Notamacropus eugenii: one gene and its partners. The protein of the gene in region 3 interacts with the protein of the main gene of each other region in a biochemical or structural test. Links are inferred from orthologs where the notes say so. Each region holds a gene or a part of one and is shown on either strand. Other genes may lie near its edges. The genes, in order: KCNA4, ABCA1, ERBIN and SMAD2.

What was found.
Region 1: the proteins of ERBIN (region 3) and KCNA4 interact in a test that uses a peptide from one of them, tested with the Homo sapiens proteins (3 studies listed by BioGRID and IntAct, with this or other methods). The link is inferred for Notamacropus eugenii from reciprocal best matches to the Homo sapiens genes ERBIN and KCNA4.
Region 2: the proteins of ERBIN (region 3) and ABCA1 interact in a test that uses a peptide from one of them, tested with the Homo sapiens proteins (2 studies listed by BioGRID and IntAct). The link is inferred for Notamacropus eugenii from reciprocal best matches to the Homo sapiens genes ERBIN and ABCA1.
Region 4: the proteins of ERBIN (region 3) and SMAD2 form a complex in vitro, tested with the Homo sapiens proteins (2 studies listed by BioGRID). The link is inferred for Notamacropus eugenii from reciprocal best matches to the Homo sapiens genes ERBIN and SMAD2.

What each region holds. Positions count from the first base shown.
Region 1 is NC_092877.1:21,295,604-21,302,676, reverse strand, and holds the start of KCNA4 (potassium voltage-gated channel subfamily A member 4), read right to left. Parts: upstream 3,058-7,073; 5' UTR 3,006-3,057; coding exon 2,977-3,005; exon of another isoform or gene 2,602-2,976; intron 1-2,601. UniProt on the Homo sapiens protein: Voltage-gated potassium channel that mediates transmembrane potassium transport in excitable membranes. Forms tetrameric potassium-selective channels through which potassium ions pass in accordance with their electrochemical gradient.
Region 2 is NC_092872.1:61,855,387-61,863,360, reverse strand, and holds the start of ABCA1 (phospholipid-transporting ATPase ABCA1), read right to left. Parts: upstream 3,127-7,974; 5' UTR 2,498-3,126; intron 2,414-2,497; exon of another isoform or gene 2,173-2,413; intron 1-2,172. UniProt on the Homo sapiens protein: Catalyzes the translocation of specific phospholipids from the cytoplasmic to the extracellular/lumenal leaflet of membrane coupled to the hydrolysis of ATP.
Region 3 is NC_092875.1:320,993,825-321,001,402, reverse strand, and holds the start of ERBIN (erbin), read right to left. Parts: upstream 3,153-7,578; 5' UTR 3,014-3,152; intron 1-3,013. UniProt on the Homo sapiens protein: Acts as an adapter for the receptor ERBB2, in epithelia. By binding the unphosphorylated 'Tyr-1248' of receptor ERBB2, it may contribute to stabilize this unphosphorylated state.
Region 4 is NC_092875.1:325,358,315-325,365,864, forward strand, and holds the start of SMAD2 (mothers against decapentaplegic homolog 2), read left to right. Parts: upstream 1-4,483; 5' UTR 4,484-4,903; intron 4,904-4,979; exon of another isoform or gene 4,980-5,310; intron 5,311-5,460; exon of another isoform or gene 5,461-5,793; intron 5,794-7,550. UniProt on the Homo sapiens protein: Receptor-regulated SMAD (R-SMAD) that is an intracellular signal transducer and transcriptional modulator activated by TGF-beta (transforming growth factor) and activin type 1 receptor kinases.

The DNA of each region.
Region 1 (7,073 bases), on a different chromosome or scaffold from region 3:
TGATTTTTAGCAAGAGATATTTCCAATTCCCTCCACCTTTCCCCCACATTTTGATTGAGTTTAATAGCATGCTTCTAAACTCTGGATTAGTTCCCTACCCAGAGGAGGTAGGGCAATTAATCCCAGTTCCTAATAATCCACCTTTTTCCTTTCCTTTCCTCCAATTTTGTTTTTAAGAGTCCTGGCATAATTCCCACATAGGAGCTTATAGGATCATAGATTTAGAAATGGAAGAGACTTGGAAAGTTATCAAAGTTAACCCCTTCTTTTTGCAGATGACAATATTTAGGTCCAGAGAAGTTAAGGGATTTGCTGAGTCCCATAGATTGTGTCTGAGGTGGGAGTTGATTCTAGATCCAGCACTCTAACCAGTATACCATATGGTCTCTTTATCCTTTTATATCCCTTTTCAGTCTAGAAGGTTTACCTTCACTAGTTGTTTTCCCATCTGTGCCCCTCATTTCCCATTTCCTCAAGTTTTCTCTCTCTGGTTTTCTCAACATCCACATTTCCTTCCTACCTTCTCCTTACTGAAGAATATACCTTCCTCCAAGGCCCAATCTGGGTTCCACTGTCACTGAGTTTCCCTCTGGACTTTCAATCAATCTTCTTTATTTTTTGTCCCTCTCCTAGTTGTTCAAATCCATGGATTCACCCACTAAAGCCCCAAATCTTCTATCTCCCTTCCTCTACCCTTTATATGATGCAATAGAGTTCATGAAGTGACTTTAGGGCCACGGAACTGGGGGATGATTAGAGGGGCAATTTACAGACCATTTCTAATAGTATTTTCAGCCTCTGCTGTAACTAGATTCATCCAGATGCATGGGACCAAAACAAAAAGGTTTTGGGGAATTCTTGAGAAAATCCATCTCTTGACCACCTGCTGCTCCTTACTGAAGTGTGTCAGCCCTGAAGGCCCTAGAAAGCATTAAGGATGTGCAAGCCCAGCTGTGGCAAATAGGGACCATATACCTCTCCCAATTAAGGGAGCTCTTCTTGGGAGGGAGAGGAAGTCCCCATTTGGAGGTTTCCCAGGCAACAGAACTGGGAGGCTACATCTCTCAAGGTGCCTTACATTATCTTTTTCTATGTCCCTAAGAAATTATTCGTACATTCTACAGGAACTTCAAGTCCCTAAATGTAACACATCTCCAGATGTATTTTCACAATAGAGAATCTATGAAAGCGAGGCTCAGGTCAGGCCAAATAAGCACAAGGTGGTTTGTTTGTTTTCGTGACTTCAGATCTCTCTATCCCTACTTCCCAATGCACAGACAAATATATCAATAAATGGAAACTCACGTATATAGATAGATAGATAGATAGATAGATAGATAGATAGATAGATAGATAGATAGATAAAGCACATAACCACAACTTTCCCTGTATCATTTCTTACTTCTCTTGACCCTTGAATATTTAGAACTCTCAGACAAGAAACTAGTCTGTCTCCTCTATGTCCATTAGCCCTCGCTCCCACTTTACAAACTGATTTAGGAGGTGTGTAGGGTGGGGGAAAAGTGAGTGTCCCTCTTTCATTCTTCTCTCCTTCTGTTGAAACATCTCCCTTTCCTATCATTGGTGACCAGTTCTCTCATTGTCCCTTGTCTTTAAAGAGTTCCCTCCTACCTAACAAGGCTGACTAGGTCAAATCTTCCCCAGGGTGAGCTAGGCTGACTCAGATTTACTCCCAAGGGTTTCTCAGTAGAGACCAAACCAAGAAACCCCTCTGCCATCCCTTTTTATGTCTGAATTCCCATAGATACTGAGTGTGCACAGTAGGTGTTTAATAAATGTTTGGTGACTGATTGATTTATGGCTAATATAATTATGCTCAGTTCCTCCCCGCCCCGACACACACACCTTTTAGACTCCTCCCACTCCTCTACCAACAAACCCACCACCGCCTTCAGGATATAATTCTTTTTTATTTCTAATTCCCCAAAAGGTCCAGGGTGGTACCTGGACGTGGTCCCTCTGCTTGTGAGTGTGTGGGCACATGTGAAAGGCCAACACACAGTGAGAAATAAGCACACCAACACACACGCGCCATTTATATAGCCCCTAAGTGTGTGCTCATCATATGCTGATAAAAATACATGCAAATTCAGAGCTGGGAGAAGCAAGCAAGCAAACGAAACCCGCTCACCAGCTGTTCCCCAAAGGAACAGCGGACCAGACTCAGGGATGAGGCAGGCAGCCTCTGCTAAACCGAACACCCGCCCCCCACCCCCACCCCCTCCGCTGGGGAAACGACATCTTTAATGGAACAGTCGCCTCCGGATACAGGTTCATGCCTAGGCATAGGAAACCCGGGACATGAAGCCCCTTCCTCGAGATTGGGAAAATAACAACTGTTGGCAAGCGGAGCAGACAGCATCCTCTGCACCTCCCTTCTCCCATCTCCCAGGGTTATTTTTAACTGCCTTCCATTCATGCCCTTCTGTTAGATCCTGGTAGCCCCCTCGTTTTCTGCCCCCTCCCCCGCCCCGCATCCATGCCTTGTTTTTAAACAGAAACTCTGTGACACCCCCCCCCCCGCAGGGGGGGAAGGGAAGGAAAGAGAGGAGGGAAGAAGAAGAATTCAAGGATACTTACAGTTCCCAGGCAGAGGATTGGGGGGGGGGGGGTCCTCCCTGTTTTCCCAAGCCAAAAGCCAACAAGGATGAATGGCGGAGAGGGATCCAGGAGAAGAGGGAGGAGCACTCAGGTGGGGGGCAGGTGGAGGGGCCAAAATAAGCCCAGCTAGCGACTTCTCAGATCGGCGAGGGGCTGGGGTTGGAGGGCAGAGGCAAAGGAGCCCCGCACAGCTGGGGGAGAGGATGGTGCTACCCTGGGAAGGACCCAGGCTTCCAGGAGCCCCCGGAGATCTGCGTTCCTGGAGGCGACGGGAGGGCCACACATAGGGAGAAGGGGGAAAAGAGGGGGAGGGAGCCAAGGGCAGGGATAAAAATCCTAGACAGCAGAGCTCACTTGTTAAGCCTGAATTCCTTCCCCAACATCCATCTCTCCCTCTCTCCCGTGCGCGCTCTCTCTTTCTCTCTCTCTCTCTCTCTCTCTCTCTCCTCCCTCTCTTCCGAAGCAGCAGCAGCAGCAGCACACGCCTCCCCGGGCGGGGGCGGGGCCAGGGCCGGGCCGAGGGTGTGGCGATCGAAGCTGTCGCCAGGGGCGCCTACCCGGGAGGGCGCAGGGGGCGGGAGCAGTCACGAAGCCGCAGTTCCCTCCCCCGCCCCACCCCCTCCCCAAGGACCCTGCCGCCCCCTACACACACCCCCTAGGGAAGGCTGGCTGTCTGGGATGTTGCTTCTTGCTCATCCACTCTGAAAGCCCTTCCATAGGGTTCTCTCCGGCGCACCCCATCATCATCACCACCACCCCCCACATGCATAAAAAGGTGGGGGTGCGGGAGGGAGAGGGAGGGAGAAGGAGAGAGGAGAAGGAGGAGGATCCCTGAGAAGTGGGAGGGTGGAGAACCCGACGGCTAGCCCCGGAGCTAAAATGAGGGACTAGGGCTGGGGGACCCCACGGGAGACCCCAAAGGCGCGGAGCCTGGAGCTTTGGGAACCCGGGTTTACCTCCCAGCTGGAATCTCATCACCCCCGACTCTGTGTGTGTGTGTGTGTGTGTGTGTGTGTGTGTGTGTGTGTGTGTGTGTGTGTGTGTGGTGTGTGTGTGTTTGTGTGTGTGTGTCTCCTAACCCTCCCTTTGTTTCTTGCTTGGCCTACTCCCTCCAATCCTGCTTTCCCCTCTAAGCTCCAATCCCACCCGTGGGCCCCTAGCTTCTCCTGTCTTCGAGCTGCGTGGGGGTGAGTTTCTCGTCCTCGCTCTTTGCTCCCCTCGGAGTGAGGATGCTCTTTCCCTCTTTACCCCTCCTCCCTCTTCTCCTCCTCCTTTTCTGCACACCAGGAGATTTCGGGGAAAGGACTGGGGGGCTTCTGGGCTGGAAAGGGATAAAAAGGATGGAGATATCCTCCCCCTCTCCCCACCTCCTCTCTTGGAGGAGGGGTCCGACAGTTCCCAAATACTTCGCCCTGCCTGGGGTTCCACTCTCCCGTGATCCCGGACCTGCGTTTTCCTAGGGGGCATTTGCTAAGGAAAGGGTAGAGGCCCACCTACACAAAAACATGAAAATATTTACTTTTTTTTTTTCTTTGTTCAAGTTGGTGAGGCCTTCCGATTCGGAAAGCTCTTAGGTGACCGTGACTCCCATGTGTCGGAATACATACACCAATGCCCAGCCACCAAGGAGAGAGTGAAAGAGGCAGCAGGTGCCCCTTTAGGTGAGTTCCTCTTGGATCTGACTTCCTTGGAAGCTTCGATGTCAACACTTGGCCATTAATATGCCGCTTGCAATGGATGTAGTCTGGAGTTCATTTAAAAAAGAAAGAAAAAGAAAAAAGCTAAAAGGGTTTTTTTGGTCTGTAAGTACGTGCCTTGGGTTTCTCATCTTTACAGAGAAGTTAAAGCTGCTGAGGAAGGGACTGAGACTGATCACAACTAGGCTTTTGTCCCCTTCCTCGCCAGTCAGAGCATCTGAGATCCTTGACTCAACCAGGGTTCCCCGTTTCCGAACTCTCCCCATCTGGTCAAAGGGAGGACAAGCCTGAGCAACCCAAGGCTTGTCTTCTCCCCAGAGGCTTGGGCCAACCCCAAAGGATGGCTTTGTTCACAGACTGTGTTGGCATTCTCCCTTTGTGGTAATACATTAATTATTAAGAGAAATATTCACGAGTTGAATTATAGATATGCCTCCGCACACCTCTCCACTCCAGGCAGGTAAAAAGAAGCCTGATGAGGGGATTTTAAAAATAATAACAATATGCTTGTTTTTCTTTTCATATTAAATATACTTTAAAAGTATGACCTAGAGAGACCAGGCTGATGGAGTAGCAGAGGTTACTAAACCCCCTTACCAAACCTGAAAGTTTTCACTTGTGGCCTCTGGGCCAAGTTTCTGTTCAGGAAAGAGAGAAGCAGAGAAATATACCTTTTCATTTATGTGTGTGTTATAACCTCAGACCCTCCTTATGTCTCCCTCAGCAGCTCATTCAGTATATTACAAGGATCCGTCTTTTTAAAAAGTTGTTTAGGAATGTTTGCACTAGGCCAGAGTGGGGATTGGGCATAAGCAAGGTAGACAGTTAGCGGTCTCCACCACATTTTTAATACTGCTTCTTACGAATGTAAATATTTTAACATGAGGAAATTCAACATTCTGCGGCACAATAATAGCATTTCCATGATGCTTGAAGGTTTGCAAAGTGCTTTAGAAATATCTCATTCCATCCTCACAATGACTGGAGAGTTAATCATTTATTTTACAGTAAGTCAAGTTGAATGTCATACAGTGGGGCCTCAGAGCCGCCATTGAATAGAAAGTAGGGATAGGAGGTGGGGTAAGGGTGTCAAACCTTGCCCAGGATGAGAAAAAGGACTTTTTTCTAGGGCAACTTGGTGTCCTACTGAAGAGAAAAAGTCCCTGAGTTTGACTCAAGAATCAATAGTTCCTGAGTTTGGCTCCTGCTTGACACTTACTAGTGGGGACACTAAGCAAAGCACTTAATCTTGAAGTGCCTCAGTTTCCTCAATTATAGAATGGGAACAGTGATAGCATTTACCTCACCCAGTTGTTGTGAGGCTGAAATGGTATCACATATGTAAAGCATTTTTGCAAACCTGAAAGAGCTACATAAAAAACTACTTATTCCAACTCTCCTCATGAATAGAAGCAAACATAATACAAAGCTGTTGTCTCATCAACATGAAAATGTCTTAGAGAGTGGAGGAAGGAAGAGGGAAGGCAACAGGGATCCAGTGTCCTTGGCTCCAAAGCAATTTATGAAATTCATCAGAAGCCCAGTGCTGTCACTGGCTTGGAAAATAGAATTGAATGATGTCCCCAAGATGGTAGCTTTATCAAAAGCAAGACATTTTCATTCTACCTTGTTAAGACTGTATTAAGTATGCTTCCCAGTATGTTTCCTTCACCTCTACCATGTACACAGCCTCAAGTTGTTGTTGTTTTTTTTTAATAATTTAAAGGTGCGAAAGGACTTTATAAATATACAGCATATTTCCAATGTAACATGAATCCAGATTACTTAATCAGGGAGAGAATGGATGCTACAGAAAGAGATCTTAGGAAGGCCAGAACTTTTATTAAAATCCCAGGTTCAAATCTGCCACGTACTACTTGTGTGACCCTGGGCAAGTCACTTAACCCTTTTGGGCTTCCTTCTCTATTAAATGACAGAATTGGGCTAGATAACTTTACAATTCCCTTTCATCTCGTAAACAATGATCAGTGGTCTCACAGAGGTCTTTTAGAAAATGGTATTTTGGAGCAGCTAGGTGGTGCAACAGATAGAGCACCAGAGTCAAAAAGACCTGGGTTCAAATCTGGACTCAGACACTCACTAGTTGTGTGTACCCAGGCAAGTCACTTAATCCCCATTACCTCTAAAAAAAATGACATTTTGTTTGTTTTTGGTCCAAAACTTGATATTTCATCACAGTGGGGAACTCCCCGTGTCATTTAAAGTCTTAGAGAACCTCCAGCGGCACAAGCAATTTATATGCCCTGCCCACTGTCATACAGCTGATGTTTGTTAGAGGTAGGATGTAACCTTGAAATCTGACTTTAAGACCCAGACTTTAAACCTTAATTAATTGAGATGGCACAAGAAAAGATGGAGCTAGAGACTGGACCCATGATTACATAAGTATTGGGAACATCCAGGGAAGAGATTCCCCCACTGCAAGCCACCATGTTGTAACAGTCTTAGAGAATCACCTAAGAGAGCTCTGAGAGGTTCAATAGCTCTCCACTTATGACAGAGATGAGACTTGAGCCCAGGGCTTCCTGACTTCAAACCAATTCCTTGTCTTCTCAAACTGAATTCTCTACCTCATTCTTAAGATCCACACATCTTTCCCAACCTTCCCAAAACTTTATCCCACAAAAAGCCTTCCTTGGTAAACTCATGCTCCTCCCATCATCTCCTTATTTTGAATTCCACTAGCATTTATATCAATAATGCCTCCTAATGGCTCACTATCTATTTCATAGA
Region 2 (7,974 bases), on a different chromosome or scaffold from region 3:
TCAGGATTTCACACTTTTACTGATTTGGGAGGGTCTGAGAGATTAGTTCCTCCAGTGGGTTTTATAACAATAAAACCAGAAAAATACCCTTTTTTAAAGTAAGTATTGAAAAATTATATTAAAATGAGGCATATCAAACAAGCAGGACAGCTTTGAATGCTACATATTGACTTAATTATTACAGGTGGCTACGGTGGATATAATGTTGGACAGAGTCCGTAGGTCTAAGTTTGAATTCAGAATCAGCCATTCTATAAAATAAAATATTAATAATAGCACTTAATTCACCCAAATGTAGTGAGGATCAAATATATGTAAGGCACTTTGCAAGCCTTAAAGCACTATGTAAAAGCTAATTTTTATTATTATTAAAAGCAAACTGTATATACATAAAAGATTTTAAGTTTCAGGTACAAGTCTTCCTGTTCTACTACGGATATGTAAATGTACCTTTATTTGGAGTTGTTAAGTTCAGCAAGGAAAAATAAAATTTGAAATAAAATGAGTTAAGTACCTTTTTTTTGTTTCGCATTTTCATTTCAATTGTTCCACACAGTGGAAACTGCCCAATTTGTCCCGTAAGAAAGTGGCTGTTTTGTTTTGTTGGGAATCTGGGGTGGAGAGAGCAAACTCACCCTCTACCCGGTGTTATTGCCAAAAGGTGAGAAAAAAGCTATTACAGCTGTGATTTCATTTGGTTCCATTTTAATAATTAATGAATTGTGAGTTGCTAAAGTTATAATTATTTTGTTTGCCGGTCAAGACCCAGATCTCCATAGGGTGTCACAAGAATAAAACAATGAACTCAGTCTCAGGCCTGTGCTCGCTTTTCGAAGTATCCTTCAAAAGTATCACTTGCCTTCTTCTAAAACCTGATTATCTCAGTGCTGAAAAGGAACAGTAACCAGGTTACTGTGGTCCAGAGTCTGTTTCATTTCTGCTAAGTCCCCAAAGGAGGGAGTCAAAAGACAATGAAAGCGCCCAGAGCTGTGGACTTCCACCTCCGGGAAACTTCCAAGATCTAGCCAAGGATGGTTGGCGGCGGAGAACAATCACGAAAATCAACAAAAAAGGGGGCTTTCTAAAGCTTCCTCCTAGTCTGCGCCAGCACAGTTTCCCAATCCATGGCTGACTCAGTCTAGATCAGAAAGGAAACACAGAACTTTGCATCTACAGCCCAGACCCGCTGTCTGCCCCAATCCTCAAGTTGTCTCTAAGAGTCTGTCGGTCCTAGTGGCACTTAGATGGGACCTCTTCAAGCACCCCCACTTTCCCCCCCACCCACATCCCCCCACCCACCCACCCACCCACCACTCCAGATGGAATCCCCACCCCCAACAAGGAGGTCTGGATTCTTTAGCCCAAGAGGAGGGGGAGAGAAGCAAGGGGAGGAAGTAAAGGGGTGGGGAGAAAAGGCTTGGGGGGGGGGGGTGCTGCTGCGCGCCCCCGCCCTCCCCACGCTATGTGGCAGAGCTCGGTGTTCTGCGCAGCCGGCCCGGGGTTACTCTCGGTCATTCTAGCTGCGCCGCCGTCTCCACACAGAGACAAGCAGCAAAGACCAAAATTGGGGGGTAGGGGGTGGGCTGGAGTCAAGGAGGTAAAACAGAATCGCACCACAGATTACATTAATCCACCATCTCCCCCCACTTTTGAAAAATATGCATATGTTCACCAGGTAAGATCTATTAGCAGAACCACACAAATGTTAATTAGAAATTATTAGAACTATGCTGAAAATTGGAGCGGGGCGGGGGGGGACAGAATGATCAAAGCCATGAGAAGGGGTTAAACTGTTTAAGGAACGTCCCGGGTTACACAAGAAAAGCTTTGTCAGTTACAAGTAATCAGCAAGAACACAGCTCGATGCCTTTCTTGTGGGTTGCCCAGAGGAGCAAGCGAAGGAACCGTCTCCCAGCTAAAAAAGCGCACGAACCAGAAAACCAAAAAGGGGGTTCGGGAAGAGTCCTGTATCCCTCAACAAAGGCGAGGGAGTTCCTGCTGCACCAGGTACTGCTCGTCCTCCCTTCGGTCCACAAAAACTCTGAATTCCGCTCCCGCAGGTCTCCCCCCAAAAGTGGTTCGCGTGCTCCCCTTTAACGTCCTTCTCCCACCCCACTTTCCCCGGACTCAGCCTCGCGGTCGGCAGGATGGACAAAGAAAGGGGCCCCGTACCCTTGGTCCCCGCGGATCCCAAGGGATGCTCGTCTTTCTCTCAGGAGGAGACAAGCCTCCCGACCTCGTCCCGAGAAGAGAGTGATGACGAAATGGAGAAGGGGGAATTGTTTTCATGCTCCCAAAGCACAGAAACCCTGCCCAGAGGCGAGAGAAGGCAGGCAGATGTGGGGGTCCTCCCCTCCACCCAACAGTAAGAACAAATCACAAAAATCAGACTTTTCCTCTTCCGAAAGAAAAAAGGGGACCCCCCCTACACACACACACACACACACACACACACACACACACACAGCAAAATCTTAACTTGTTGGAGAGCTCTTACCTGCTTTCCCGCTTTTGTTTCTGCCACTCTCTCCCCTGAGCCTTTGGAAATATTTGTGCAAAACAAAGCAAAAATTTAAAAATAGAGAGAGAGCCAAAAAATGGGCTCTCGCCCCCGATAACCCTTTAGTGCCAAGCTCTGCTTTAGCTTTCCTGCGGGCAGCAACGGGCTCCCGCTTCTCTGCTTAGCACACGGTCCTCAGTCCCTCTCTCCCAGAATTAAGGGTTTTTTAGCCTGGACTAGTTCCTTTTATAGATTCGGCTGCGCTCAACAGCGGGGTTATTATCGGTCAAACTCTGTTCTCTTTCTCTTCCCCACCCCCTACTTCCCGGCTCTCTGTTTATGTAGTTCAGTCACTCACCGAAAGCACGTGGAGGAGCGACACGCCCCTTAAAAGGGCGACAGGCAGGAGACCCGCTCTCCCCCAACCCCTTCCCCCGCCTCCCCTCCTCTCCCTAGCCGCTGAGTGGTGGATGGGATGAACTGAGGCAGGTCTCCAGGAGGGAGTCTGCCCAGGATCACTTCCAGAAAAGCCCTCGCTGTACAATGGCCTGCGCTTCGTGCTCCCGTCTGCAGTCCAGACAGCCCGACGTTTCAGATAATCCTCTCAAGCTCCAAAGTATCTGGAAAAACCAAGCCACTTAGAAGTAAAGGAGAGAAGCAAGGAAGAAGCCCACTTTCTCCCCTTCCTCTGGGGGGCGGGGGCTTGAGTGGGAGCAAACTGCTTGACAAGCCCCCCCCTGCCCTCCCCTTTTTTGATCCTAGTTTCGTTTTCTGTGCTTGGGGACCCAGGCTAGAGACAGACCTTGAGGGTGGAGGGCGCTTTCTCTCATTTTCTCCAACCCGAACGACTTAACTCTTAAAGTCAAGGGTGTAATTAAAGACTTTCTCCTCCCCCTTCAACCCCTTCCTCGAATCCTGCCCCTTTGCCCAGAGGGCGATACTACGTCAGAGTCTGCTAGTGCAAGTGAGAGACCCACTTGCTCTGTCTTCTCCCCCTTTCCCCCCTCAACAAGCACTCAGGACATCCTCCTGTGTGGGAGAGGGGAGGAAGGGTTTGTGTGGTTGAATTCCTGAGAGACTCCACACACACACACTTGGGGCCAGCGTCCAGTTTAGAAAATAATCTTTATTCTCTGTACACAATGACAAACAAAACATATTGTCAACATGCTCTTTTTGCGTTGTATAGATGATTCATAGAGAACCAGTCCCTAGGCTTGGTAATTACATTATAACTCTGCCCAGCCAAACCCTTTTCTGAACAAACATTACGTCCGCAGATCTGAGTTCTAGTCTCACATATGCATTTGTTTTAACTCTGTGACCCTGGGCAAATTACTTAGGAGTTTTCTGCCTTATTTTCTTCATCTGTAAACTGTAGCTAATAGTAATATCTATCCCCTACCTGCCTCACAGGCATGTTATGAAAATGAATAAAACATTTGTTGAAACACTTTGAGCCTCTCAGAAGAAAGGCTCTATAAACAGAGAAGGTACTATTATATGGTTGGTTGGCAGCCATGGCCCATAAAGCAGTGTTGCTCTGATAGGATGTTTTCCCATACATTGCATTTAAAAACCGAAAGCCAACAAAAATTTATGAAGTTTTGCTACATCTGAGCAGGCAGAGCTGGTCTAGTTTTATGAGTAAATAGAGTTGGCCGGGTCTTGCCTTAAATAGCCTGAGTGTTGGGCTTGAAGGGATGATAGAGATCATGTCAGAGGAAATTGAGTATGTGTGAAAATCACCCTGGTTTGGGAGTAAAATGATCAGGGCTACAATCCAGGAGCCAGCTTCTTTTCTCAAAGTTACTAATGACAGGTTTCTCAGTGAGAAGGGAAAGAAGAGAGGGAGAGAGCAAATTTGGAACTCAAAACTTTAAAAAATAAATGTTAAAAATTGTTCTGACATGTAATTGGAAATATATGTATATACGTGTGTATATATACATATGTGTGTACATATATAAATATATACACAATGTGTGCATTTGTACATAAATGTGTCTGTATATACCTACACATATATGTGTGCCTGTGTATATAGCGTGTGTAGGTATGGGGGTATATATACATATATGTATATACACAAACACACATACCTACACACACACATATAATTTAAAGTTACTAGTGTCAGGGGCAGCTAGGTGGTGCAGCGGATAGAGCATGGGTCCTGGAGTCAGGAGGACCTGAGTTCTAACACTTCAGCTTGTCTGAAACTGAAGTAGGCAATGAGGTGGTGCAGCAGATCAAGTGTTGAAGTTGGAATCAAGGACACCTCAGTTTAAATCCTACGTCACACATTACTTAGCCATGTGACACTAAGCAAGTCACCTTAACCTCACTCAGCCTAGGTTTCTTCATCTCTAAGAGGAGGACAGATAATAGTGTTTTCCTCACAGCATTGTTGTGGGGCTCCAATGAAATAATGTGCAAAGCACTTCACACCCCTGCCAGTTATTGTTATAATTCCTCCCTGTACTGGCAAGTAAAATAGAATCTTTTGCTGTTTTTGTTTTATTAAAAGTACCTCTGATTGAATAATGTGATTGGGGAGGATCTCTCCCATCTTTTGAGGGGACCTTGATTAGGGGAGTTGTTGTGTAGGAAGGTCCCAAGTACCTTTTGTTTTTTCTATTGAGGCACTGGGTCAGAGGGTTGTGTGTGTTCATCCTTCATTGCTAGAGAAGACCATGCCATCAGAGAGATGATAACATGACTTGCACTTGACTTTGTTTTGAGTGAAAAGAGGGCTGTGCAGGTCACCAGCCTCACTTCTCCTCCAGAGCCATCTGAATCCAGTGACCAGATATTCATCAGGATGACTGGAGATGACTCAGGATGAGGCAATTGGGGTTAAGTGACTTGCCCAAGGTCACACAGCTGGTGAGTGTTAAAGTGTCTGAGGTGAGATTTGAACTCAGGTCCTCCTGACTCCTGCACTAGTGCTCTATCTACTGCACCACCTAACTGCCCAAGGTCAGAGGGTTATAAATACTCAGAGGATGAGGTTTTACTTTGAGAGGCTTAGTTTTTGGAAGAAGGTCTATGTGCCAGATGAGACTCTGGGAAGCCACTAAGCAACCCCTCCCCAGCTTTTTTGAAAACCCAGATATTGATGCTTCCCTGTCTGGTTAAGATGTATGTATGTTAGTGGTCAGGCAGTTTGGAAGCGCTATCTGTTGATTTTTGACTTCTCTGAAATATTGACTTTGATTTTTTCTGATACCTGTGCTTAATTAAAGTGATTATTAATCACTTTTATTATTATTAATCACAATTAAAGTAATTGTTAAACCCTCAAAAGTTGCATTTCCCTTTGTGAATGCAAATCTAAGAACCTGTGATAGCAGGTCCCCCTGTATATGGTGGGGTGCTTAGTGCTACACTCCCCAAAAAACCTGTCCTTCCTCCTCTAATTTCCATTCTTATTGATGGCCCCATGACTGGTTAGATCACCCATGCTCAAAACCTCAGGGCCAGGTTTGGCTCTTCCTTCTCCCTCATTCCCTCAATCTCCTGCATTGCCAAGTTCTTTTATTCTGTTCCTACAATATCTTTTATCCCTCCCCTCCTTTATACTCCAAGTGTCACATTCCAGTTCAGGCCCTTGTCATCTATTGTCTCCCTACTTTTGCCCTTGCTCCTAGGCCTTTATCTTTCCAATCTGTCTTTTACGGAGCTTCCAAAACAAGCTTCCTAATGCACCAGTCTGGTCCAAGTCAGTAACATTGAGCACTTCATCATTTCCTACAAAGTAATACCAATTCCCACTTCTGACATTCAAGGCCCCCTGCAATATGGCATTATTTCACTACGCTCTCCTTCATATATACATATTCCAGACAAATTGATGCACTGGCTATTCCCTAAACTGATCCTGCTTTCTCCAAACTGTGCATTTACATCATACATACTCCATGACTAGAGTGGATTCTGTGTGATTTGGACATATTTCCCTTCATTCAAGATCCAGTTCAGATTCCATTTTATCAAGGAGGGAGGAGGCTTGTCCAGTGCTTCTGGTGAAAATCGGTACCTGTCTCTCCAATCTCTCATCCATTTCTAGTTGACCTTTCTTATACACTTATCACACATGATCAAAGGTTTAGAACCTGAAGTAACCTTAGAAGTCAACTGGTCTAACCCACTCATTTTACAGAAAAAGAAACAGACCAATAGAGGCTAAGTGACTTGACTAAGGGTTATACAGACAATAAAGAGCAGAGCCAAGTTTCAAATCTAGATCAAACCTAGGATGACAAGTCCAATATATTTGCCATTATACTGCACTCTCTTATAGTTACCATATATACATGTCACCACTAACTCTATGATATTGTAAACTCCTTGAGGGTAAGGACAATGTAATTTTTCATTTTTGTGTCCCTGGTACCCACACATAGTGGGGACTTAATAATTTTAAAATTCTAATTTGTTGTGAAGAACACACTTTGTAAATCATAAAACATTATATATAAATACAAGTTATTATCATCTAACCTATTCCCTCTCAATTTTGAAAATGAGATAATTGAACCTCAGAGAAGTTGTGATTGAACATGGTCACATAGGTAGTGAGTGGTGGAAACATGATCAGAGCCAATGAAAACTTGGCACAATAGATTCAGAATCAAAGGACCTGGGTTTAAAGCCTACCTCTATTGGTAATTAACCATGTGACTTTGGGAAGTTTTCTCATCTGTAAAATGAGAGGATTGGATTGAATGACCTCTAAGAACTGTCCCTTCCAGTGTTAAATCTAAGATCCTACAAACCCCACATGTTGCCTCTGCCTCCCACTTGTCTTAAATCCTGAAATTCCACTACTGAAAGATTTATTATTTTAGTTCCGGAAAGCATTTTGATCAACTTGTCCAGAGAAATATCTTGGTGTTTGATCAACCATCTGAATAGCTGAGGGTAAGGCTCTATGGTGTACATAAATAACTTAGGGTAAGTTGGTTGGGGCTTTAGGGAGGAAGGGGTCTGGGGAAGGGATACAGAGGTAGGGAAAAATGAAGAAAAGACGAATGTTCCAAAGACAAATTTCACCTACTTCATAATTCTACCCAAGTCCTGCCCTGAAAAGTGCAGAATTCATGAACCACAGGCACCAAATCTTTGCCCAGACAAAGAGTAAAGGATAAGAAAGGGTCGAAGATGACTGAGGCTTTCAGTCTGACTTCCTGGAAGAATCATTTCTAGTGTATATGTTATAATTTGACTGCTTCCTATGATTAAAATAGCTACCTCTCAATTTCTATGTCTATAAGACATGGGAAAGCAAGGACACTGAGGCTCCAGGTACTTATATGTCTTGGGGAAATTGAAGTGACCAGAGAAGAAAGTGAAGAAGAAATTGTCCAAGTTGAAAAAAGACAGTAGAGGCCTGCTATCTGTACCATTAGAGGGATTACCTATATCAGGGATGGGGAATCTGCAGCCTCAAGGACACATGTGGCCTTCTA
Region 3 (7,578 bases):
AATGCATTGCAGTTCATTAAAAAAATCATTTCAGTTTCAAATTGGGTTAATAATTTTTGTTTAAACCTTTTCATTCTTGCATAGGAGAAACATACATAGCTCAAACTTATTACAAGGAGTTAAATGAAACAATTAAGATCACAGATTCAGAGCTGCAGAGGACCTTAACAGTCTTCTAGTCCAAACCCCTCCTCATTTTAAAGATGAGGAAACTGAGGACCAGAGAGTTTGGAAAATTTGCCAACAATCATACAAGTTGTAAAGTGGCAGAGCCTAAGTCCTTCTACTCCAAATACAGCACTTATTCCACCACAGTATGCTGCTTCCACCTTCATTACTAAACCCAAGACAACTAAAACCACAAAATCAAAATTTGGCTTCCACACTTTGGCATAAGCTTTTTCATGCACTCAGATGTTAAGATGACATCATCTAAAACTGCAAACTGTTCTTTATTACTTAACACTCAAATCACATAACTAGCAAGTGGAAGAAAACATTTAAATTTTCTATTTTCAACAAACCAAATAAAAATCACCAACTGTATTTCATGCACTATAAGCAAAATTTTCAGGGATGTATGTCACTGATCAAATACTGCAAAAGAGATCTAAGTATTTATTTATATACACACACATTTGACCCACTGCAGACAACTGATAACAGTATTTAGAAGAAATGTAATTTTTATAAATACATTCACACAAAACAAGCAAGAATCACAAAACGCTAAAATGTAAAGATGAAAGGAGACTTAGAAATGATCCAGTCAGGCTCCTTCATTTTTACAAGTATGGAAAAAAGTCTAGGAAAGTTAAGTGAATTGGGATTGTGTCTACTCTCTATTTCTAGGCTGTCAGAAGAAAACAGTCTCATAAATTGATCAAACTAGTATCCAACAAGCTTAATGGACCTATGGAGTTCTAAGATCTATACTTATTGAGGGAATTATGTTTTTATTAAAGAAATAAAGGAAAATAGGCAACATGACTAAGGAGCTAGTCTCAAGGTAAGACCTGTAATTCAAGGCAAGCCTTGGACACACACTTGGCTAAGTGACTTGGAAAAAATCGTCAGTGGTCCAGGAAATTCTACAGACTATAAACGCAAAATAATGGAGGTTCTGCAATGGTACACAGAGTCTCCTAACAGAAAGGGGGGGAGGGGAAGGGGAAAGAGATAAGCGACATTTATTCAAATAACACTAATAACATCTAGTTTAAAATTTTCTTGACTCAAAATCTTGAGTCTTTATTTGTGGCTCCCCTGAGAGGAGATAAACAAAAATTACATTAAAAAACGAAAACTGGTTCACAGACTTATTGCTTGATGTAACGATTGTCTTCTGTAAGTCACTAAGACAGAGAAACAAAACTTTGAAATGTACTCTTTCTTTGTAAGAGGCCTGCTGCTCTATTTAGGCTTTGTTGCTCTTATGCCAAGGAAGTGCCATATAAGGAACCTCAAGTTCAATGTCATTCATTTTGCTTAGTTTTTTTCAGATGTCCAGGAATAACCTCTTCAGCTAGCTAATAATACAGTTGTGCATTTTATATTCCTTGAGCAAGCTGGTTTGATTTAGTACTTACTTGCAGAACTAAATAGCAAGAAAATAACTACCTGGAGAAAAAAGACTCTGACAAAGGCCAACTTAACATGTAGTAGTTAAGTTTTTACTATCTGTCTTTTTGCATTTAATACAGATCAAAGCTGTTAGGAAGAAGTAATAATTTGATAGAGATAGTTTAAACTTGGACTTTCTTCTTTCCCTAAGGAAGCTACCATCTTTTTCAACTGCCACTAATTATTTGAGATCTGATAAACTAAACATCAACTGATATTATAATGGGAAATTACCTCCAGAATTTTCCTTGCACTCAAAAAGACAACTTTTTGTTCGTTAGCACCCTAAGTACTACAGACAAAAGTTTAACTATCCTTTCACACTAACAAATTCAGATATGCTGAAATACAAGAACCAACTGATAGAATCTGTGAAGTCTACTAATTGTTTTTAACACTTAGACTGAACTAGGTGGCCTCTGATATCCCTTCAGATTTTGTGACTCTTTAAATCAGTTTACAATTAATTTTTGCCATGCTTTTTAAGTTCAGCCTCCAAATTAAATTTGATCACAACACTTACTAAATAGAAATCCATTATATAATAAGTATTTGTGTCAAAACGATAATCCTCAAAAAGTCAAGAACAAATACCAGAAAGTTGTGTATAAATGTGTACGGTGGCTGTCATGCAGATAAATAGTATCAAAGTCTTATCAACATAGTTGCAGGTGTTTTTCAAAACTTACAAGTTCCTCTTTACTCAGAACAAGGAATCATATCCCTTATTTCCGTTCCTTTCTAAACTGGGCACTAACAGGAAAAATCAGATTAAGGTAATTGTCTTTTTAATAAATTTGTGAAATAAAGACTTTATCATACGGTTCTGCAAAGGGCCAAAATAAACACCCTTTCTGGAGGACAGGAAAACACAGGCTCAATCTTCCTGAAATCGCCTTCCACCCCATCGCTCCCCCAACAAGAACCAAGGAGTTTTGGGGTTTGTCACTGCGTTACACAGCCAGCAGCCTTCACCTCCCCGAGAACTTCACTTCAACGCCCTCTACTAGTTAGCAGTGTAAACAAACGTGGCGGGCAGTCCACGGCACACCACCCCACAGCGACGTCTTCCCGACGGACTGGCAAATCCAAAGTTGCTAGATTCGGTTCACTTAAAACAAAAATTTTAGGAGAATGCATTTTGGGAGCGGCCAAGTGCTTACCTACTTCGGGACCTAGGGGAGAACAAAGGAACTCTATGTCCTCAAGAGCCTAAAAAAACAACTTTGGGTTCCCCACTTCCCCTTTTCCCCCCGATAATGCCAGACCGGAGGGTGGACTGCAGAGGCAGCCCCGATATCTCACCGATCCAGGGCTGCCGGGCTTCCGATGGGAACAAGGACAGAGAGATGCAGCCCCTGCTCCCCGCCCCACGTTCGCCCCCATTTACCTCTCCAGAGTTCTCGGCCTCTTCTTCAGGCTCCCAGCGGAGACATGGTGGGGGTCCCTGGCTCCCCAAGACGCCGCTAACCCTCCATCCTCCGCGGGGTCTTTTCTCTCGGGGAAGGAGGAGGTGAATGGGGATGCCGGGCGGCCTCTCTCAAGAGGAAGAGGAGGCTGGTTTCGGCTCTGGGGGCACAAGCGGGGCGTTGCAGGCCGGTTTCCTGGTCTCAAGTTTTGACACGAGTTTCCCAGCCTCCCCAACCAGGATCCCCCGAGGAGAAGGGGAAGGCAAAAAAAAAGTTTTCTCTCGTGACACCGCCCGGAATTACTGCGTGAAACTCACTTCCTGCCCGGGCGGAGAAGCTGAATCCAGGTCCACTCAGGGGAACCCGGAAAACAGGCTCGACCTAAGTGGGGAGCAGGAGGCAGGCGGCAGGGGGGAGGGGTGTCTGTCTGTCAGCCCCGCTGCCGCCGAGGACCGTCCGAGCTCCGGCTGCAGAGATGGACGATCCAAAGGCAATCCTGCAAAGCTACCCGTGCGCTCGCTGGGCTCCCAGGCGGGCGGGAGCCGACGACGCGCCCCCTCCAGACCCCTCCCAGGCCCGGCGAGCGAGGCTGCACTGCGCCCCTTCCTCCTGCTGCCGCCGCCGCCGCGGCCCTCGCTAGGCCACCTCCTGCAGCCGCCGCTGCCGCCGGGTTATTGTCTCGATCGCGCCCGCCGCGCCCTTCGCCCGCGCTGCCGCGGCCGCCCCCGGGGTCCCGAGTCCAGGGAGAAGAGGGAGGGGGCAGGCACGAGGGCCGGCCCCCGGCCCCGGCCGTCAGTCCTCCCGGCTCGGGTTCTCCGTCTCCTCCTCCTCTCCACCCCCCTGCCCTCGCCTAGAGCTTGCGGTTTCCCGCCCGTGCCCCACTCCCGGAGCCCCGGACTGCTGTGGCGGAGGAGGAGGCTCCGCGACCGCGGGCGGGGTGGGAGGGAGCGACTCGGGCGACGACGCCGAGTTTAACACCGGAGCCGAAGCTGCCGCGGCAGCCCCGCCACATTCACTAGACACCGACCGGAGGGGAGGGGAAGTCGGCGGAGGAGGGGGGAGGGACCGGGCTGGGGCTGAAGCAGGAGGGGAGCGGGGCCTCTCCGGCTGAGGCTGGCGGGGACCTGGCGGCAACAGCGCCCCCCAACCAGGACGAACGAGAAGACACTGCGCACAGCGAACTCGAGCAGCGGAGGGGGAGGGGAAGGGGGCGGGTGCCAGCGGCCTCCAGCGGACTCTCACCCCAACTGCCAGCCACAACGGAGCGGCCGGAGGCCGGCGTGACGACCCAGTGGCTCATCTCGGCCTCTGGGGAGAGGAAAGGAATGAAAGAAGCCTCCCTCGGGGAAGGAGGGGGGGTGAGGGAGGGGCCGCCCGCGGCCGGTTCGAGGGAGAAGTGTGCTGAGGGAGAGCCGCGAAATGGCAACAGACCAGCGTGCGCCTCCGCTGGGCCCTCCGGAGCCTCGCGGCGATCCTCGCAAGGATAACTTTTTTTTTGCATAAACCCAGCTCCCCTCGGAGGGCTCCTCCAGGCCCCCAGTTGCAACGAGCATCCAAAGAGCCAAGTAGTGAAAGGGCCCCGGGGGCGCCCGACCGGCTCCTCTGGGAGCCGAGCCAAGTGCTTGTATTTTCCCCGGGTCTTCTCCTGGGCCGCAAGCTGCAGGCCCCGGGTCTCGACCACGCGCCCCGCCGGCCCTCCAGCCTCGAGTGGTGGAGGCGTGCATCTGCAAGGTGTGAAGGGGCAGGGAAGGCTTCCTTCCAGCCGGCAGTATTCCTTTCAGCTGGAGCAGTCCTGACTGCCTGCCGTGAATGCCACACTCGGGCTGCACGGAAGCAGCAGCTCTGGGTCCTTTCCGGAGCGGGCCCCGCTTTGCTGCTCGGCTGCCCCGAGAGCAGTTCAGCGGAGGCGCCTCCGGGCCTCCGGCTCCGACCGCCCGCCAGACCAGACCGAAGCCGGGATGGGGGAAGGCGGCTCCAAAACTGCTTTTGTTGTTACCCTGTGCCTTGGTGAGAAGGAGGATTTGGCGCACTGCAAACAGCTGCTTTCTGTGCTGCAGCTGCTGGATTATGTCTCAGCTGTATGCAGTCACACAAAACATCTGCATTTATTATTAAGGGAGATACTAAAGCATTCAGTGTCATTGCATCTGGAAAAAGCGAGAAAGCCTCCACCGTAGCAGTGGATTGTGTAGCTTCTTGCATTGTTTGCCTCTTGCTTTTGATATGTTAACAGACTAAGAGATGATCTTGTTTCACTACTGAAAAGGAACAGAAAAAGGATATATGGGGCACATTTTATCCCCAGCCTTCAACGAAGCTGCCTCCTTTCTATCCTCTAATTTCCGGGCCCCTGAAGTCACTTGTCTAACCAAACGTTGCATATGACAGGGAATTATTTATTAAAGAGTATGAATAAAAAGTCCTATACACTGTATTATCGAATAGATGGCTTTAAACTTTTATCCAGAAAGTACACATAAATTGTCCCCAACAGCTTATTTACCAAAGTGAATGTTTACGATATAAAAACACCCTCGATTAAATTTATCTTCTATGTGTCCAAAACATTAGAGTGGGGGCCGTTATAATTTCTGGAAAACTACCAGGATTAACAGATTATTTCACTGATCTAGAACTGATTTTAGAGGGGTTTAAAGAAAAACTTGGTAAATCTCTGGTCCCTGGGGAGTGTTTCTTTTTTTTAAGGGTTACAACTTAAAAAAAAAAGCTTTACTACTAAATGGCATCTTAGATGTCAACTTATCCAACTTCCTCATTATACAGATGGGGAAACCGAGACCTGAGAGGATTTGCTCAATTTCAGATAATACATTTTCAGGACCAGAAAAATCCCTGGTCCCCTCATTGCAAATCCAGCCTTTCCCCCCACAATATACTTTATCATTTAAGGTCACATAGGGAACATCGACCTTGCAAGTCAGAGATCCAGGTTTTACATGTTTCTCTGGCATTTACTATCCATGTGACCATGGACAAGTCCTGAATTTCAGCTTCTGCTTCTATAAAATGGAGATAGTAACATTTGCACTACTTGCTTTATAAGGGATATTAAGAAAAACATTTTGAAAGCTGTTACATTAATGTGAATTATTATAGCATACCAGGAACTAGAACTGGTATCTCTTTTTAAATTTATTTTTATTTCATTAAATGTCTTCCAGTTACATGTAAAAAAGATTTAACAGTTTTTTTAATTTTAAGTTCCAAATTCTCACTCTTCCTCCTAATCCTTCCCCCTCCTTGAGAAAGCAAGCAATTTAATTTTGATTATACGTGATTATAGGTTATTCAAAACATATTTCCATATGAGGGGCAGCTAGATGGTTCTCTAGTGCAGGAGTCAAATCTCACCTTAGAGGCTTGACACTCACTAGCTGTGTGACCTTGGGCAAGTCACTTAACCCCCAATTGCTTCATCCTGGGTCATCTCCAGTCATCCTGATGAATAACTGGTCACTGGATTCATATGGCTCTGGAGCAGAAATGAGGCTGGTGACCTGCACAGCCCTCCCTCACTCAAAAAAAAAAAAGTCAAGTGCAAGTCATGTCATTATTTCTCTGATGGCATGGTCTTCTTCTACAATGAAGGATGAATACACATTTTCATATGAGCCATGTTGCAAAAAGGAAACACAAACAAAATTTAAAAAAAATTAAAATAGTAAAAAGAATTGTGCTTCAATCTACATCCAGAGTACATTGTCTCTCTGGGGGTGGATAGTGCTTTTCATCATGGGTCCTTTGCTGTTTGATCATTATCTTGATCAGTATAAGTTGTCTTTCACTGTTGATCCTCCTTATAGTATTGCTGTTACTGTGTAAATCTTCTGGTTCTGCTTACTTCACTTTGCATGAGTTAAGAGCTTCGAAGGTTTTTCTGAAACCATCCTGCTCATTATTTCCAATAGCACAGTAGTATTCCACCATCTGTATCTTTTTTTAAAGAGAAGCTTTCAAGTCCAGGAAGCAGCTGATGCATACCATTAACCCAAGGCTAGGTTCCCAAGTATATCATGATTATGTCAAGAGACATAATATAAAGGCTGCATAATAATATTTATGAAGTGCTTTAAGGTTTGCAAAAGGCATTCCTCTCTTCACCCCTACAAAGTAGTGTAAATATTATCCCCTCTTTACATATGGGAAAACAAATTCAGATAAAATGGCATACCCAAAATCATGCATGTTTGAGACCCAAGATTTGAACCTAAAACTGTCCTGATTCTCCAAGTCCACCTTGATGGTTAAAATATTTCCTGGGATGGTAAATATTTACTTAATTAAGCTTTAGCTCATCCTGGATCTCTAAAGGCTGATGAAATTCTGACCCATACTTAATAATTGTGATTAGAATTATAATGGTTCATATGGGATCCTGTTCTACTCTACATCATCCCCATTTCAAAGGCTTTAATCTTTCCAAAGGAGAACAACCTGATTTAGAATCTCTAAACTTTGGATTAAGTAGACCTAAAAATCTCATTTATCTTACACCCAGTAGTACCACCTTTCAGAATGTTCCTGT
Region 4 (7,550 bases), about 4.4 Mb from region 3:
TCTCTTATGATTTCTCTTTTCTGTTTACCTTTTTTATGCTTCTCTTGAGTGCTGTGTTTGAAAGTCAAATTTTCCATTCAGTTCTAGTCTTTTCATCAGGAATGCTTGAAAGTTGTCTATTTCATTAAATATCCATTTTTCCCACTGAAGGATTATACTCAGTTTTGCTGGGTAAATGATTCTTGTTTGTAATCCTAGCTCTTTGGAATATCATATCCCAAACCCTCCAATCCTTTAACATAAAAGCTGCCAAATCTTGTGTTATCTTGATTCCACAATATTTGAGTTGTTTCTTTCTGGCTATCTACAATATTTTCTCCTTCTCCCAGGAGCTCTAGCATTTGGCTATAATATTAATTTTGGGATCTCTTTTAGGAGGGGATTAGTGGGTTCTTTCAATTTCTATTTTACTCTCTGCTTCTAGGATATCAGAGAAGTTTTCCTTGACAATTTCTTGAAATATGACATCTAGGCTTTTTATTTTTTATCATAGTTTTCAGGTAGTCCAATAATTCTCAAGTTAATTCTCCCTGATCTATTTTTCCAAGTAAAAAGTTTTTCCAGTGAGATATTTTACATTGTCTTCTTTTTTTATTCCTTTCATTTTATGATTTCTTGATGTCTCGTGGACTCATTAGCTTCCACTTGCCTAATTCTAATTTTTAAGAAATGATTTTCTTCAGCAAGTTTTTGTATCTCCCTCTGTATCTCTCTTTTCTTCAGTGGAATTTTGTGCCTCTTTTACCATTTGGCCTATTCTGATTTTCAGGCAATATTTTCTTCATTTTTTTTTTCTGCCTCCTTTACCAAGCTGTTGACTCACTTTTAATCACTGTCATTTCTTTTCACATTTTTCTCTACCTCTTTTATTTGATTTTAACACTCCTTTTTGAGCCCTTCCAGGAATCCTTTTTGGACCCCAGACCAATTCACATTTTTCTTTGAGGCTTTGGAAATAGTATTTTGATTTTGTTGTCTTCCTCTGAGTTTATGGTTTGACCTTCTCTATCACCATAGTAACTTTCCATGGTTAGGTTCTTTTTGTTGCTGTTTGCTAATTTTTCCAGTGTATTTCTTGACTTTTGCGTAGAAAGGGCATGGTCCCAAGCTTCAGGGTTTTTGAGCTGCTATTTTCAGAGCTAATTTTTGAGGGGGTTGGTATCTTTAAGTTTTCAGTTCTTCCAAAGTGGTATGATCAAAGGGGAGGTGTGGTCACTATTCTTCTGGCTTGTGCTCTGATCTGGGAATGAATGCTGCACTCTTTCAGCTCTGTAACTGTGCCTCTCCTGTGGCCACATGTTCTACTATTCTAGTGATCCTCCTCACCCTGAGACTGCGCAATGGAACCACGTATTGGCAATGTAACAGCATCCTGTACCCAGTGACAAGAAAGGGTTTTCTGTAATTGCCTTCTTACCGGTTTTCTGACCCCTCTCTCCTTACCATCTGTGGGCTGATTTAGTCACCCTCAAGGCCTACTGCTGGCTTGCCAGGGCATGATCTGTGCTGGACTGCACTCCATTCTCCCCCTAGTGAGACATAACTTTTCTACCAACTTTCTAAGTTGTCTTGGGCTGGGAAGTTGTTTCACTGTATCTTTGTTAGTTCTGCTGCTCCAGAATTTGTTTTGAGGCATTATTATGAAGTTGTTTGGTGGGGAAATTGGGAGAGATGAGGTGAATTCCTGCCTTTACTTAGTCATGTGTCAAGGTCTTTTGAAACTTGACTTCATTTTCTAGAATCTTCTCTATCCCTTCCAGTACAATATCTTTGCCAAATTTGATTAACAGGTCATCTATACTTTTATCCAAGTCCATGATAAAATGTTAAAATGTTAAATAGTAGAGAACCGAGCAGAGACCTCTGTAGTTACTCCACTGGAGATATTCTGCCATGCCAGCATTGAACTACTAATATATACTGAGTTCAACTATTCAACCAATTCTAAATCTGTCTAATTGTATCTACCCAATGCCTCTTCATCTTCTCTACAATAATAGTAAGTGACACTTTATCAAAAGCTTTGTTAAAATCTGGGTAAATTATATCCATGGCATTCCCTTCATCTACAAATTTATTAAATATGTTGAAAAAGGAAATGAGATGAATTTGCCATGATCTATTCTTGATGAAGTTATGCTGGTTCTTTTTAATGACGGTTTCCCCTTCTAGTGGCTTACCAATCATCTCTTTAATGATATATTTTTGTATTTTCCCACAAAGTAAAGTTTATTTGTCTATAGCTTAAAAACTGTTCTCTCTCCTCCCACTTTTATTTTGAAAATCAGAACCACATTAGCACTTTCCTAATCTTGTAGTATCTCCTTTGTTTTTCATGATTTTTCAAATATCACTGATTAAACAGTCACATCCCTTCCAGTTCTTTCAGTATTTGAGTATATAATCTATCTGCACACCAGGTGAACTGCTTTAATCAAGAACAAACAGATACTCTTTTACCATCATGTTACTTGGGTATCAACTTGTTATTAGTCATATTCTGTCATTCCAGTGAAAAGATCATTTTCCTTAGTAAACAGAAGCAAAATAAGATTTGAGCAGTTTTGTTTTCTTGGTTCTTAGGTATCATAACCTCATGCACTCCAAGCAAAGGTCTTATCTCTTTCAAAGATCTTTTTCTCCCAATATAGCTTTAAATATACTTTTTTGTTATCCTTAGCTTCCCTTATCAGAAATAGCTGATTTTAAGTTTTAGCACTATTTCTACAAGAGGGATCATGTTCTTACATTCAACATGTTGTCAGCCTTAATTCCATGATCTTTTAGCCCACAGGATCCTATTTATCTTTTAAAATATGTTTTTTATTCCTCTCTTAAAGTTAAACACAAAACAAGAAAAAAAAATTCCTTGTATACAGGTAAACATAAGAGAGGATTCAATATAAAAAAAATGTTTATTCATGAAAACCTATGTAATCAATACTATGTATTTTTTCAAAGCTACCCAGCTTTTCTGTGCTTCCTTCTAGGTTTTCTTTTGTTGTCTACAGTGCATTTTCTATCTTATTTTTTCTCCCTTCATAAAAGGCTACAATTAAATATGAATATATATGCATATATATACATATCTATAAACATACACATATATTATACACATATACATATATACATATAAGACCATACTATGCATATTTCTATTTGTCAGTTCTTTGTCTGGAGGTGGATAGTACCTTCCTTCATAGTCCAAGTCTTTCCATGTTTTTCTAAATCAACCAGCTCATCATTTCTTATATCATAGTAATATTCCATCACAATCAAATACCCCATCCTGTTCATCCTTTTCCTAATATGACAGGTATAAGATGATATCTCAAAGTTGTTTTAATTTGCATTTCTCTAAGTAATTAGAGCAATTTTTCATATGATCATATATAGTTTTGATTTCTTCATCGAAAAGCTGCCAGTTCATATCCCTTGATCCTTTAACTGGGGTATGACATATTCTTATAAATTTGACAAAGTTCTTTGTATATTTAAGAAATGAGACCTTTATCTGAGGAATCTACCTATCTTTTCTCTGAATCTTTTGAAGCCTTTATCTCAGTCTACCATGTATGTCAGACTATGCCCAGATTTCCTCATCTGTCAAAAATTCTAGAAAGGAATGGTGTTCAATAAAGAGCTGATTTGATTTGACTATTTCATATTCTCTTCTCTAGAGGTTGAGGTACTCCCTAAATGGAAATGGCAGACTATGGCTGCATAGGCTGTCAGAGAGCCCTGGGGGGCCACCACCTCAAAGCCTCCTTACATTTCCATAGGGCAGATTTTGCAGTCCCACATCATGAATTGGACATTGGGAATAATTTAGGGTAATCAAAATAAATGAAAACAAAAATTCCAGCACAGATCAATAACTAGGATTTTGATAATATACTAGCCAAGGTGGTCAAGGAAGAAGAAAGGAGGAGGAGGTGAAGGAGAAGGAAAAGGAGGAGGAGAAGAAGGAAAAGAAGAAATTACTTTTGAAAGAACATAGGCAGTGTAGTAGTTAGTAAAGGGCAGCGTAGTAGAACAAGTCCTAGCTCTAGTATCAGAAGACCTGGGTTCTAATGTGAGCTCTGCGATTTACTCCCTACTTGAACTTGGACAAGACCCTTCCCCTCCCTGGGCCTCACTCTCCTCCGCTGAAAAGTAAGAGGACAGGATCTGGTGGACTCTGGGGTCCCCTCCATCATAAATCCAACGAACTTACTATGGCTGGCATATTTCACCGGTATAGCGGACAGAGACCCGCACCAAGCTCTCCTAGTATGATTGAGCCCCGCCCCTCCAGGACATCCTAATTTGCTCTTGGAGGTGATTTTGTCCCCGCCTCCTTATTTACATACAAGACCCTCCCGGCTTTTGACCACGCCCCCTTCCTTTTCTCAGTCCCATTTGTCTCCTATGGGGGTGGGGCTGGGAGCTCTCGTCTCCCCCTTTCCTTCCTAGTCCTCCCTCCCCTGAGCGTAGGTTAAATCCCTTTTGGAATGGAGAGGGATAGTCCCTAAACGAGCCCCACCCTGTGGCCACTTAGTGAGTGTGAAAGGGGTGATGACCTGGGGAAGGGGCGGCAAGCCAACGAGGCTGAGGCACGCTGGGTGAGGTAGAAAGATGGGTGAGTACTTTTGCTGGGATTATTTTCCCTACGCGGCAGGTTACTGTATGTTTAGATAAAGCCTGTCCTTCCGCCCTCCCCTCCTCCCCACCTCTAGTGAATCTCCTGTATACGCGGGCGAGAGGAATCAACCGAAACCGCTGCCTTTCTGACCCCTCCCCCCACACCACCTCACGTTCTACGGAGGAGGCGGGACCCATCGGCGAGCGACGTTTCCCGTCCGATTCAGGGAACCCGACGTGCCGCGCACACCCCGACCTCGGCAAGCTCCGATTCGTCGAGGTAGATGTCCATCAGATCGGGTGGGTTAGGAGGGCGTGGCCAAGAGGGAAAAGCGAAGAAGGTGTTAGTCCGCAACTCTCTCTCCCTGGCGCACTTGAGCTCCCTTCCCCCGCTCCCCGCCCCCCCACCCCATCTCCTGGGCGCGCGGAGCGCTCCTCACGGCCGGCGCGTCCTCACGCCCTAACGGGCGGGCGGGGGCGCCAATCAGCGGGCGGCAGGGTGCCAGCCCCGGGGCTATACTGACGAATCGCCGGGACCCGGGGCCCGGGGTAGGAGGCGGGTTTTACCCGCACGGCCGCGGCGGAGGAGCAGGAGCAGCAGCGGCGGCAATAGCAGCAGCTAGGTAGCAAAGGCAGCGAGAGCCGAGCGAGCGAGCAGCCGGGAGCAGGGTTCGCTGCGCGGCAGCGGTAGGTGGCACGGAGGCGGTGGGGGCAGGGAAACCGCGCGGGCCGGTTAGTCTTGTTCGTGTGTGTGTGTGTGTGTGTGTGTGTGTGTGTGTGTGTGTGTGTGTGTTCGCGCGTGAGGTAGGGGAGGAGGGGCGAGCGGTGGGACACGCACGTCCCCACGCCCTCCCCTATTTTCTCCTCCCTCCGGTGTGGGCGGACCGGGCGGCGGCTCCTCTTTCCCTCTTCCCGCGACCCTTTCCCAACCTGCATTCTCCCAGCCCCCCACGCCCCGCTGGTCCGCCTCCTCGCCTCGGGACTCTGCCTCCTCTGGGGGAGGGGCGGAGGGGAGAGTGTTTTCAGTTCCGCCTTAAATCGACCATTTCCACTCCCCCCTCCCCCTCCTTCCCTGCTTCCCCAGACTCCTACATCCCATTCCAAAGGGGAAGGAACAAAAGGTCCGAGACCCCCCCGATCCTGCCCGAGAGGGGCCGCCGCCTCCGTGAGGTAACACCCCCATCCCCCCCACCCCCTCCTACAATTCCGGGAGTCTCCGAGATGTATTTGTGCTCGCCTCCTTCACTGGGGGTGAATGGGTGGGGGGGCGGTCCTGTGTGGAGTGTGATCGGTCCTGGGAAGCGGCCGGGGCTGGCAGAAAGTGGTGATGATGGGAAGGGGCCAGAGGCGTCCTCTGCAGCCGGGGCCCGGAACGTCCATTGTGCCTCCTTGTCGGAACCCGTCCAGACAGTCTTTAAAGCTGGAGAGGGGGTTGGAGGTGGGGCAGTGATCCAGGAGTGGTGGTCGTCGTCGTAGTAGCTGTGGTGGTGGTGGTGGTGGTAGCGGCGGCGGCAAGGACTGCCTTTAGTTTCCTTTATTTATTATTATTTACTGCGGAAATGATTCCTTTGGGGTCTACTTTTTAAAGTTGCTCTACGAAAAGCGTGCCCATGGGGGATGCTTGCAGCATAATTCTATAATTTGCCACTTTCCTGGCGGTGAATACTGTAGTTTATTAAGTCTTGTGTGTACCTTTTAATCTTTGATTTAGGAATTATTCTGTTGATCCCAAACAAAGGGAACCAATTTAACTGGTTTTGTTGCTTCCCCTCTCTTCTCACCTCGTCTCTACCTTCAAAAGATCAGTGTCTGGGTTTTGTGTAGATGAAAATGAACTTGTTTTACAAATCGTGGCACGCTTAGACTTAGGGAAACTGGAAAGGAACATGAGAAGCCCGTCTAGTTCAAGTCCTTCATTTTATAGATGAGGAAACTGAGTCCCCTAAAAGCTAAGTGACTTAGCCAAGGTGGAGTAGGTGGAAGGCACCAGAAATGGGATTTGAGCCCCAAGTCATCTGACTCCAAAAGTCGATTTTCTTTCCTTTCCCTTCACCAAGGTCTGTATCTTGTGTAGATACAAATTTTATATATGTTTGTGTATATACATGCAACATATATATGCATCATATGCCATATATGCCAAAATCTGTGATGTGTACTTTAAAAAGCAAGTCATTTTTCAAATTAGTTGAAAAGATACCAGATTCATCACCCAGATTCATCAGCGAACTTTGACTTTAAAATAAAAGTGCAGTTCAATTTTCTTTTACTTAATTTCAAAAATCCAAATTTAACAACAAACTTGGACTGGAAGTAATTCAGTCTCTTCCCCTCCCTTGGATTGCAGATAGAGAACAAGAGAGGAGTGTTTTAGTTACTTAATCTATTGAGTGGAAATAGTTTAGCCACCAACTGCATTTTTTTGTTCTTTTTCCCCAATCTGTCTTAAAGACAGTAAAGTGTCTTAAAGTGTAAAGGGCAATACTTGAATGGCATCCTAGGTTTAGCTCTGGAAGAGACCGGTGTTAGAAGAGGTAATTGAGTCCAGCCCCTTCCTCTCATAGATGAGGAAACTGAGGCCTGGAAACTGGTGACTTGATTGCATGAGTATTAAGTGGGACAGAGTATTCTAACTCAGGTCTCTTTCCACTGTACCATATAGTCATTCTCTCCTTTGCCCTGGAAGTTTTGTGGAACTTTATGTGGTGGGGTTAGAAAATTTTAAAATCTGAATTTATGAATTTTTCATTATTTTTTCATTAAATAAAGTAATATCTATAAAATGAAAGAGAAGGGAGAGTAAGGAAAATATTCTGAAATGTGAATCATAATTTTTTGTGTATTTTTAAAACTAGAATATTTAAGAAGCCATTTTTAGTTGATGATATTTTAGTATAGATTTCCATTTTTTTCTAAAATGATGTAGG